3 linked regions of the Kluyveromyces lactis genome follow. The protein of the gene in region 3 interacts with the protein of the main gene of each other region in a pairwise test. Links are inferred from orthologs where the notes say so. Each region holds a gene or a part of one and is shown on either strand. Other genes may lie near its edges.

The links.
Region 1: the proteins of LSG1 (region 3) and YVH1 interact in binary tests that used the Saccharomyces cerevisiae proteins (3 or more experiments, as listed by UniProt). The link is inferred for Kluyveromyces lactis from reciprocal best matches to the Saccharomyces cerevisiae genes LSG1 and YVH1.
Region 2: the proteins of LSG1 (region 3) and REI1 interact in binary tests that used the Saccharomyces cerevisiae proteins (3 or more experiments, as listed by UniProt). The link is inferred for Kluyveromyces lactis from reciprocal best matches to the Saccharomyces cerevisiae genes LSG1 and REI1.

The regions. Positions count from the first base shown.
Region 1 is NC_006041.1:1,604,152-1,607,064, reverse strand, and holds YVH1 (tyrosine protein phosphatase YVH1), read right to left. Parts: upstream 1,631-2,913; coding exon 563-1,630; downstream 1-562. Other genes in the region: MND2 (Mnd2p), read left to right, coding at 1-470; RAM2 (bifunctional protein farnesyltransferase/protein geranylgeranyltransferase), read right to left, coding at 1,932-2,873. UniProt on the Saccharomyces cerevisiae protein: May be directly involved in signal transduction and/or cell cycle regulation. It is necessary for maintaining growth rate or spore germination. Could show both activity toward tyrosine-protein phosphate as well as with serine-protein phosphate.
Region 2 is NC_006042.1:161,564-164,671, forward strand, and holds REI1 (Rei1p), read right to left. Parts: upstream 1,878-3,108; coding exon 663-1,877; downstream 1-662. Other genes in the region: mannose-ethanolamine phosphotransferase LAS21, read right to left, coding at 1-269; TSC10 (3-dehydrosphinganine reductase), read right to left, coding at 2,258-3,108. UniProt on the Saccharomyces cerevisiae protein: Pre-60S-associated factor involved in the cytoplasmic maturation of the 60S subunit. Involved in the dissociation and recycling of other late pre-60S factors like ARX1, TIF6 and ALB1 before newly synthesized large ribosomal subunits enter translation.
Region 3 is NC_006042.1:641,400-645,219, forward strand, and holds LSG1 (ribosome biogenesis GTPase LSG1), read right to left. Parts: upstream 2,479-3,820; coding exon 532-2,478; downstream 1-531. Other genes in the region: RRT2 (diphthamide synthase), read left to right, coding at 2,641-3,820. UniProt on the Saccharomyces cerevisiae protein: GTPase required for the nuclear export of the 60S ribosomal subunit. Acts by mediating the release of NMD3 from the 60S ribosomal subunit after export into the cytoplasm.

The sequences.
Region 1 (2,913 bases), on a different chromosome or scaffold from region 3:
GCATTGATAAAACCCTAAAAGAGATCGAAAAGGAGAAGGGAAGTAAACAGAACAAGCAACAAAATGAACACAATTCAGGGCAAGAACCAATACTTAATGCCTACCAAACTTCCTCTTCATTTATTGTGTCAAATCATAATCATCAACATACAGAACAATCGGTACTGCTGACAGCACAAGTTGGTGAACAATCTGAAGAAGAGTACGATCAAAGTTATGATTACGATAACGAGTATGCGGAAGTTCACGAACAAGGATCTATGCTCGACAGAACGAGAGGTACGTTTGTTGAGGATTCACAATTAATTGATACAAGTTATACCAACCGGTCAAGATCCAGGCATTCAAATGTGGATGCACTGCCATTTGTAAATGAAAATGAGGATTCGGTCCATGAACAGCCATCGTTGACCATATCTGATACTCTAGACTCCGGTGCTCAAGGTTCACGAGTATCTAGCCTCACCTAAATGCCTATTAAAGAAGAATGACATGTATTAAACAAATAAAATAAAAAATGCTAACCTTTATGAATGATATTTATGCGAGTACTGAGAGACCATTATTCTTCAAACGATACTAAATTAGGTAGGTCTTTCCTAGTTAATGCTATTTGTTCGACTTTAGCTGTTTGGATATGGATTGCCGGAATCATCCATTTACCACAACTGCATCTAGAACCTTTCCAATTGTAACCTCCGATCTTGCTATCACAGTTCGGACAGAAAAATTTACCTTCAAGCTCTTGCTTTTGTAATTCTTTCTTCATCCATTCCAAAGGCTCCACGAAATAGTGCGAACAACGGTCTTGTGATTGTTGAATATCAATAATTCTTCTAGATCCTGCGGCCCTCCTAATGAAATGACCTTCCATTGATTCCTTACTTGGAGGATCATGCTTAATGAAAGAAGTGGAAAATGCAAGTCTAAACCTACATTTTTTGCAACGGATCGCAGAAACATCTTCTACTTCCTCTTTCGATAACTTAGCTACCTTTTCAGCTTCAACTTCTTCAGACTTATACATTTCATTTTGAGCCATGATATTGGCTCCCAAGGGATCAGTTTTAATGGAATTCTGTAATTTCCATTGTTTATAGTCTTTATTCTCGACATCCACTATATTCGAACCCATGGCTTCATACAGCTTCAGTTGCTCCATAAAGTTCTCATTTGGTTCAGCTACGCTCCGTTTCCTCTTCACTGCATGTAAAGCTGTCTTCAAATTGAACCCGTATCTGTACATTAAATACGCTACTGCAAACGTAACAGATCTGGATACACCTGCTTGGCAGTGTATATATATGGCACCCTTTTGGGGCTTCTTTTTGAAATCAACCTTCACTCGGTCAAGCTCTATCTCATCGGGAAACAGGCATGAATCGATGTATCTATTCGTTTCATTGAAATACTGCAACACATCTGTACTCAAATTATCGTCAATAGGAATATTCTTCAAAGTATAACTCTTCCTGACCAAGTATTCTGGAATGATCTCAAATTTGATCACTGATAGGATGTGAGTGATCTGATAATTCACTTTCAGTGGAACATGGTTCGCAATTGGTTGAATACCACCAACATAGATCCCACCTAGTACTCTTGTAATATCAGATTCAGTATTCGCCATTGCAGATGATTGTAGCTGATTATTTATGAATACTTGCCGGTACTAATATCTCTCTCTGAGGCGATTCCCGTCCACTCATTAAACTTTACCTCGTCTCATCTCATCGCTTCTTCTTCTTTAATCTTTTTGGCCTTGGAACAATTTTTTTCCAGTCTAGTTGAGGGAAAGAAACGTGATTTGTGTCAGTGAAGGTAGAGATGATATGATACTTCTGTAGTACCGACGGGTAGGATAGCCAAGTGAGCTTGGATGTGGGAGCCCTTTGCGCGACAAGGCATCCTTGTATGTTAATAATACAATCCTATATAGTTAATTGTCTGATTTTTAAATTCCAGTAGTTTTTCCTTATAGGATCCCAAGTGTCTGCTAATGCCTGATATGCGATCTTGGACTTTTCCGAGTCTGTTTGAGAATATACATCAGCTAGGAGCTCCAATGCGAAAGAAGACTTAACATGGGAGATTGGTCTTTCTTCTTGGTCGGTATATGTCTCCAAGGCGTTATCTATGAAGGACGAAGCAAAATTAATCAACTTGGAATCGTATTCGTTATTCTTGAATGACTTATAAATAAAACGTAGATGGTTCCAGGGGCTTACGTTTTGTGGAGCCAACAATATCTTATCCATACAGTATTGAATTTCCACCTCTGCTACTCCTTCCTCTTGAACATGATCGACGTTCTTCAAATAAAAAGCTCTATGGGTCCAGGCGCTGTTGTTATACACGTCTCTATCGATGTACTTGTTCACAAAGTCGAGTTCATGGGACCAATCTTTGAAGAATTGGACGGACCATTTGCGGTACGACCATACATGGTAATTTTTTGTATCGTCATCGATCATCACGTCTAGTATAGGAAGGTCTCGCACTAATTTGGGGGATGGATGTTCTGAGAGTAGCGCTTGTCTGTACGACCAAATCTGGTAGTTTTTCGGGTTATTTAAGGTGAACTCATCGAGCCAATCCAATTCTTTCTCCCATGCGGATACATCTTCTTTCCGGAACAAGGACATGCAAATCTCGAATCTGTAGTTCCATGCGGTGTATAACGCTGGTACAGTCTCAATCACCGCGGCAGTTACTGCCATTGCTCTTTCAGATAATTCATTTTGTTGTAATAATGCAACGAATAATGATACGAGTTCCTTGTATTGGTCTGTGTATAGGATGGCACATAGTTCATTTTCCAATCCAGATTCGATTGGTATTCTCTTAACATCAGAATAATCGCACTTGTCCATGGTATAGTGTATTATTTGTGATGTTCTTGGTTTTACTAAA
Region 2 (3,108 bases), about 480 kb from region 3:
TAGCCCCAGGCCTCGCCTGAGTTCAATAGTCCATGTAAAAATTCGAAGTCTGAAGAATCTTTCTGGAACAAGAAATCACTCCGCAGAGCATCAATTACAACCAACACTAGTTTCTTGAACACGGGTTTAGAGGCCAGTTGTACCTCCGGATTCACAATGAATTTAGAATCATTCTTCAAAACAACCTTTTGCGGAAAGAATCCTCCACAGAAGAGAAATACAGCAACCAATTGCAAAGTGGCCAGCACATAGTATAATTTTCTACCCATGATGGATTCAGCTGTGTGATTCAATTCACCTTGTCACTACTAACCAGTTTGTTAGAACAACTCAACGCTATTCCCATCCAACGCTGAAATGTATTGATGTTTACGTTACGTCTTTAGAGATTTTTCATGTTGAGAGAGATGAAAGAAAGGTAATTGAAGGAATTTTAGAAGAACAGTAACAAAACAAACAAGTGAATGAATAGGTGTCCGATGTAGTGCGGAATAATCATATTTCATATATACATAGCAATAATAAAAGGAAATGACCGAATATTTAATACGGAGTATAGAGGTAGATTTGTTAAGGATAATGCAATGATCTATATATCTAAATACTAAAGTAAAACCGTAAACCCAAGTGCATATGCAAAAATGTTCTTCATCACAGTGAATCTACTGTAACAATTGGTCTCTGTAATGAGGTTGGTTATTAACGAACTTGGCAGCTCTTTTATCGTCTCTTTTCTTGTCTTTGACTTCTGTTTGCCAAGTAGTCTTTTGTACTTGTTGTTGTTGTCTATCGAAAATGGTAGCGAAGTGTCTGGTGTCTGCAGCAACGATAGTACCTTGGCCCTCACTAAGTTCACGCTCAGGTTTAAGATTTTGTCTGTAATACCGTTGTAAGGTTCTGTGACCAACCTTCACACCAGTAGGTAGATGTAATTCGACACCGTCGTTGTATAGTATATGTTCAGGTAATTCTTCTTCTTCTTCATCATCTTCCTTTTTATCATTCTCAATATCACCGTCGTCATCTTCATCAACATCCACCCACTGGGATTCATCCTCGTTGACGGCTTTATCTAACTCTTCATAGGTACTCGAAAAATCATAAAACTCTGATATTTCCAACTTTTCAGCTTCCGTTTCGTATGGAATACGGCAATGCTTTTTCGATAGCATATGAGCTCTGACCGCTTCTAAGGACCTACCTTGGTAAGAACAGCAGAAACACATATTACCCAAACCAATCTTTTCCGAAAAGTATTTGAAAAGACCACTTTTATCAACTAAATATTTCTGTTCTGGAATATAGAAACCATGGTCTCTGAACATATGATCCAAATTTTCTTCAAAAGTTTTATACTTCTTACCGGTAAATAGACACTCAGTTTCTGGAATTTCAACTCTGTTATGAAGCTTTTCAGCCATTAACTTCTCAGCAAGTTGATCGGGGGTCATTTCTTCTTCTGGAATCTCTTCTGCTTTGGATTTGGCAACTTCGTCCTTCTGTTCTGCTTCTACTTGCACCTCAGGATCATCTGATGCTTTATTAACAGGAGTACTATCTTGCATGTTCTTCAACATAGACTCCTTAGCGAGCTGCAATAGTTGCTGCTTCTTGGCTAGTAACTTCTCCTTTTCTAACCTACGCATCTCCTTCTTCGTCATCTGTTTAACTTTATCCTTCTTATGCTTGTTCTCTTCTTCTTCCTTCTCTACACGAGCATTAGCAACCTTTTCACTAAAAGTAGCTTCATCTATGGATGGCAAACCAGCGACTCTTCTCTTCAAATTGTATCTGTGCCAGTCCGACTTCATGTGCTCTCTTTGGCCAACCGCAGTGTCAAACACAACACCGCAAGTGTTACAAGTATATCCAGCCATATCTTTGTCCTTTACCTTAGTTCGTGTAGGTTTATTTCTCCCGCTCCGTCGATACTAAACAAAGCAAACTAATATTTAATAATGTTGCTCCAAGAAGTACAAAAATAACAAGGCTGTTAATTACTGTTTCTCATCACTAGCCACCTGAACCTATTCGATGAGATGAGATGAGATGAGCTTCTATAAAATTTTCAAACATTCACGCACTAAAAAAAAAAGAAAGATTCCGGCGATGACTATGGGTAAACTGTCCCCAATAGGACGCCAATGATGTAAATAAAGACTACTCGATTCGATCCACTGGCTTTGTTCTATGTGAGTCGTTTGGGAATATATTTCATACTTAGATATCTAGCTCTCTCAGGGTATATAGTAACACACTACTTAGTATCTTTATTCCTTTTCCATTGATAGATTTGGAATTTGCAAATCAACATGTAGATAGGCACGATGGTAATGTTCAACAAGGCACCTAGGATCCATGAAAACACGAACATGAATTGGCTGGTGCTATGTTTGTTTAAACCTTGATCGCACGCCATCAATAGCCAACCAATAGAATCTGTGGTAATATCATCAAGCCCCCATTTCAATGACGAGATGATCTTGTCACGACATTGGGCAGCGGTCACTGGATTACTGGGTCCCTCAATTTCTTTTGTAATTGCAGGTTTAGTTATATTTTCTAGATCAAAGCCCTCACTTTGGAAATTACCTGGGTACACACAGGTGATTCTTGTACTTGAATGTTCCTGTCTCAAGATTGCAACCAAAGATCTTATACTCTGTTTCAAAGGAGCATACTGAGCGTATCCAATGAAAGGAAAGAACGCTACCTCGGAGGAAAAGAACAGAAGATGGGGCACATCATGCTTTAAAGAAACATGGGCCAAATTCACGGCGGTGGAATAATTTGTTGTGATACCGTTTTGTAATTCTTCCGGTGTCAAATCTAAGAACAGTTTTGGGATTGACCCCCCAGCACACATGTACACCTGTGATGGAACCAATTCACTCTTGACCAGTAGCTTGAACATCAATGCTACTTTGTCGTATGATGACGTATCACAGCTGTGATATATCAATTTTGTTTCATTTCTATTGGTATCGTTGACATATCGGTCCAAAGAAACACCATCAACGCCAATTCTCTCACAAGCCTTTACCAGCTTGCTCTGAGACCTGGACACAATGATAACCTTATTAGTATTCGAACCTGGTCCATCATCGT
Region 3 (3,820 bases):
TTAAATGGGTAATATTTCCGCCCACCTACTATCAAACTACAAACTGTAGGAATTCAGTTGTTGTTAGCGAAAAGGGCGTTAAATGGGAGTATCCCAGCTCTGGGCATCTTGAGCTTACTTCTACATGCGTGGAATAAGTCTGCGCCATGATAACCACAACGCGAACCATAATTGAACATGCCGAAATGTGTTTAAGAGCCCTTGTTTGCTGAGCTAGGAACCAAAAAGATAACCACAAATGACAAGAATACTTATCAACTGGACCATGTACTGAGGTCAAGTATAAAGTAAACCAACTTTAACCAAGTTTTGTATCCTTTTCTTTTGGTTCATCAAATTTTTCAGTAAACACCGGGTAATGCAGTGACAAGTTGCATGCTAACCATAGGTCTTATAACCGGAAGCAGGGCAGCTAAGGAAGATATAAAGGATATGCAGTTACATTTCCATAATGAATGGGGATAATAGACTGTGCAAACAGTGGATTTATATATATATAAGAGTTTAGGATGAATTTAGATAGTACTTACATTAATCGGAAAACATGGAAGCCTTTTTCTTACTCTTCTTGTTCTTCTTGTTATGCTTCTTACCATTTTCGTTGGCGACGGTTTGCTTATGGAAAGGGTTCGTAAGTCTGCCTTGAACACCGTTCAAATGGAAGAAATTTTTGTCAAGTTCATCAGCTACGTTGTACAAGGCTGCTTGTTTACCACCATGGTTGACAGATTTAGCTTGTACTTTATCACCATCACCACCAATATGAGCAGAGAACGTTAATCGACTTAAATCGCGAGCAAGATCCAAATCTTGTATACCTTTGTGTTTGGCAGCTTCTGCAAGTTGCTCTTGTCTGTTGATAGGTAATTTACTGAACGTGTATAAATCTTTGTTGAATTCCTTACATTCTTCTCTGGTATATGGCGTATCATCGTCCATGTGAGGCGGTGGATTAATGTACAGGAGTTTACCGTTCACATAATCTTTGAGAATGTAACGAGAGGCACGAGATTCATCTGCGGCACCAAAACCTTGTGTCATATAACCACGAGCTCTGGCATAAGCAACGAGTAATTCTTGTGCAGTTGGTACTTCACCATTCCCACCCTCTTCTACGGATTTGGTCTGAATATGGATACCGTAAATGGCTTCCAAAAAGTATTTAGGGACCCTTTCTGCCACTAATGTCGATGGCCCAATATAGTCACGTAACTGATCGATCGGTAGAACACCGTTACACACCAATTCACCTTTATTGTATGCAAAATTAGGGAAAACTAGACCTGGACAGTCGCATAACGTTACCTTATCAGATAACTTGATAGTTTGGAAATGTTTGGTCTTACCAGGGGTAGAAGAGACAGAAACTTTCTTGGCACCCACCAAGGCATTTATAGTGGAAGACTTACCAACGTTTGGATAACCCACTAGACCTATTTGTATGATTGGCTCTTGACCGGGCAATGGAGGAAGTAGCGGATCGTTTGGCGCTTTATCTAAGAACAATTCTTCAAGTTGATCGATCTTCAGTATGTTAATTTTATCCAGAATTTCTTTGTTCACTTCTTCCCCATCAAGTTCTTCAATTTCTTCCTCTGTAGCCAGTATTTCCTCATCGTCCTCTTCTTCAACGTATTCATCCCCTAGTTCCTCTTGTCTCTCTAATATTTCATTAGCCTTGGCAGCAGAAAAGAATGTAAAAGAGATGCCCCTCGAGAGAAGGTACTTGGCCCAAATAATACGTTGCTTTCTTGTTAATAAATCCGCTTTGTTGATCAAAAGTAAATTCTGTTTCCTGTCATCCACTTCTTTCACATATTTCTCTAAATCTGTGGATCTGAATAATAATGGATCTCTGGCATCCACGATTTGGACTACTAGATCACATCGCTCAACAACTCTCCACAACTGCCTCCAAACTTCAATGTTTCTCTCGAATGGAGTCAATAACAAATCCTCGTTGTCTTCTTGCAAATAGGCTAATTTACGTCTCCATTCCAAGAATGCTTCCTTTTCTAACCTTTCTAATTCAAATCTGGTCATAGATTCATTCCACTTAGGCCTTCTTGGGACAATCAACTCTCTAGCATGTAATCTCTGCTTCTCGTTGATCTTACTTTTCTGCTCATTGGTCAAACTAAATCCCTGGGATGTGGCTGCATCGGCACCGTTATCCATTCTGATGATCTTGACATTAGAATGTCTGTCCGCTGTGAAATCCTTGTCTGCTAACTCAGCAGTACTCAAAAATTCATCTAATGCAGATTCCTGAGTAACAGATCTCAATTTTACCCAATTAGCTTCGTGCTTATCGGTAGTGAAACGTTCTTCACCATCTGGCAAATACTGCACTTCATTTTCCTTACGTCTTGCAGTTTGAATTGCCTTACCTAACCCAATAGTGTTTTTATTCTTCCTTTGAATAGGCTTTGGACCCTTTGGAGGTTTCCACTTCTTTGTTGTTTCCTTTGGTGGCATGCTGCTAGTCCGTGTTGCTTGTAGACCTGCCGTTAACTGCTAAGATTGTTGTGCTGATGCTTTGCTTATGATGAGATGAGCTGGTTAACATATTAAAATTTTCCGCTAGTACGTAAAGTGTAAAAAAGAAATTGTGTGGTAAACCTGAACTAGAACAGATGGATGGCTCAACAATCTTTACAAAAGCACCCGCATGATGAGGATGCAGAGTACGACTCCAACATAGGTATTGCATACCACCTTAGAGGAGCGACAAAATTAGAAGTCAAGAGTTTCTGCAGAATGGAAGAAACTGCAGCTGATAAAAGGGTTACCACGCGTCTTCCTCCATGTTGCTTGTGTATTTTAAGAGAGAAATTTATCATTGTGGGTACCTATCTCTTGCATAAGGACTCAGGCAATCGAACTGGCTCTATTGAGGTTTATGATAAAGAATTGAACCTTCTTTCTAGCATAAAAACCTATGGGGCAATTTTAGATTTGAAGCTCAATCCATTCGATGATACTTTACTCGCAACAGCTCATTCAACCGGTAATATGATTCTGTGGACGATATCTGTCGACGATGATAATTCATCAATTGATATCAAACTATTGAACAACCTTCAAGTATTTGATCCCACATGTCTAATAACGTCTCTCCAGTTTTCTCCATTGCTGGATAATCTCGTACTTTTAACCACTACTAATGGGGATTTTGCTACTGTTGATATCATACATGGTGAAATATGCTTTATAGAGGAGGTGGAGCCATCGTATTTCGACTCCTCAACAATAAATTATATTGAGGTGCCAAATGCAGACATCAAAGTTATAAATGTTCAGAATGACCATGAACAAATCTTTCATTTCAAACATTCTTTGGAGTGCTGGACCGGCGAGTTCGGCTGTTTGGCTCCTTTGAAAGATGTTGTATTCACTGGTGGTGACGACTCTGCAATTGCAGCTCATGATTTGAATTCAGGCAAAAAGATCTGGTCCAATTCAAAAATTCATCAAGCTGGTGTTACGGCAATTAAGGCTGCTAGGGAGACATTTAGAGGCAACAAGCCAACAAGTTTAATCACAGGCTCTTATGATGACCATATACGATCCTTTGATCTAAGAATGCTCTCAGAAACCACAATATATCCAGGGACAGACGTCCCTGTGGTTAATAAATGGGAAGACAATTTACAGGGTGGTGTTTGGAGATTCTCGGAGGCCCCAACGAATGACGGACTGTCAAATAACAGACTTATGGTTTGTTGCATGTATAATGGTGCGAAGGTTGTCAACGTCCAAAACGATCATTTCGTGACCGAGCAGTTTATAAAAGAAGGGCATGAATCAATGTGTTACG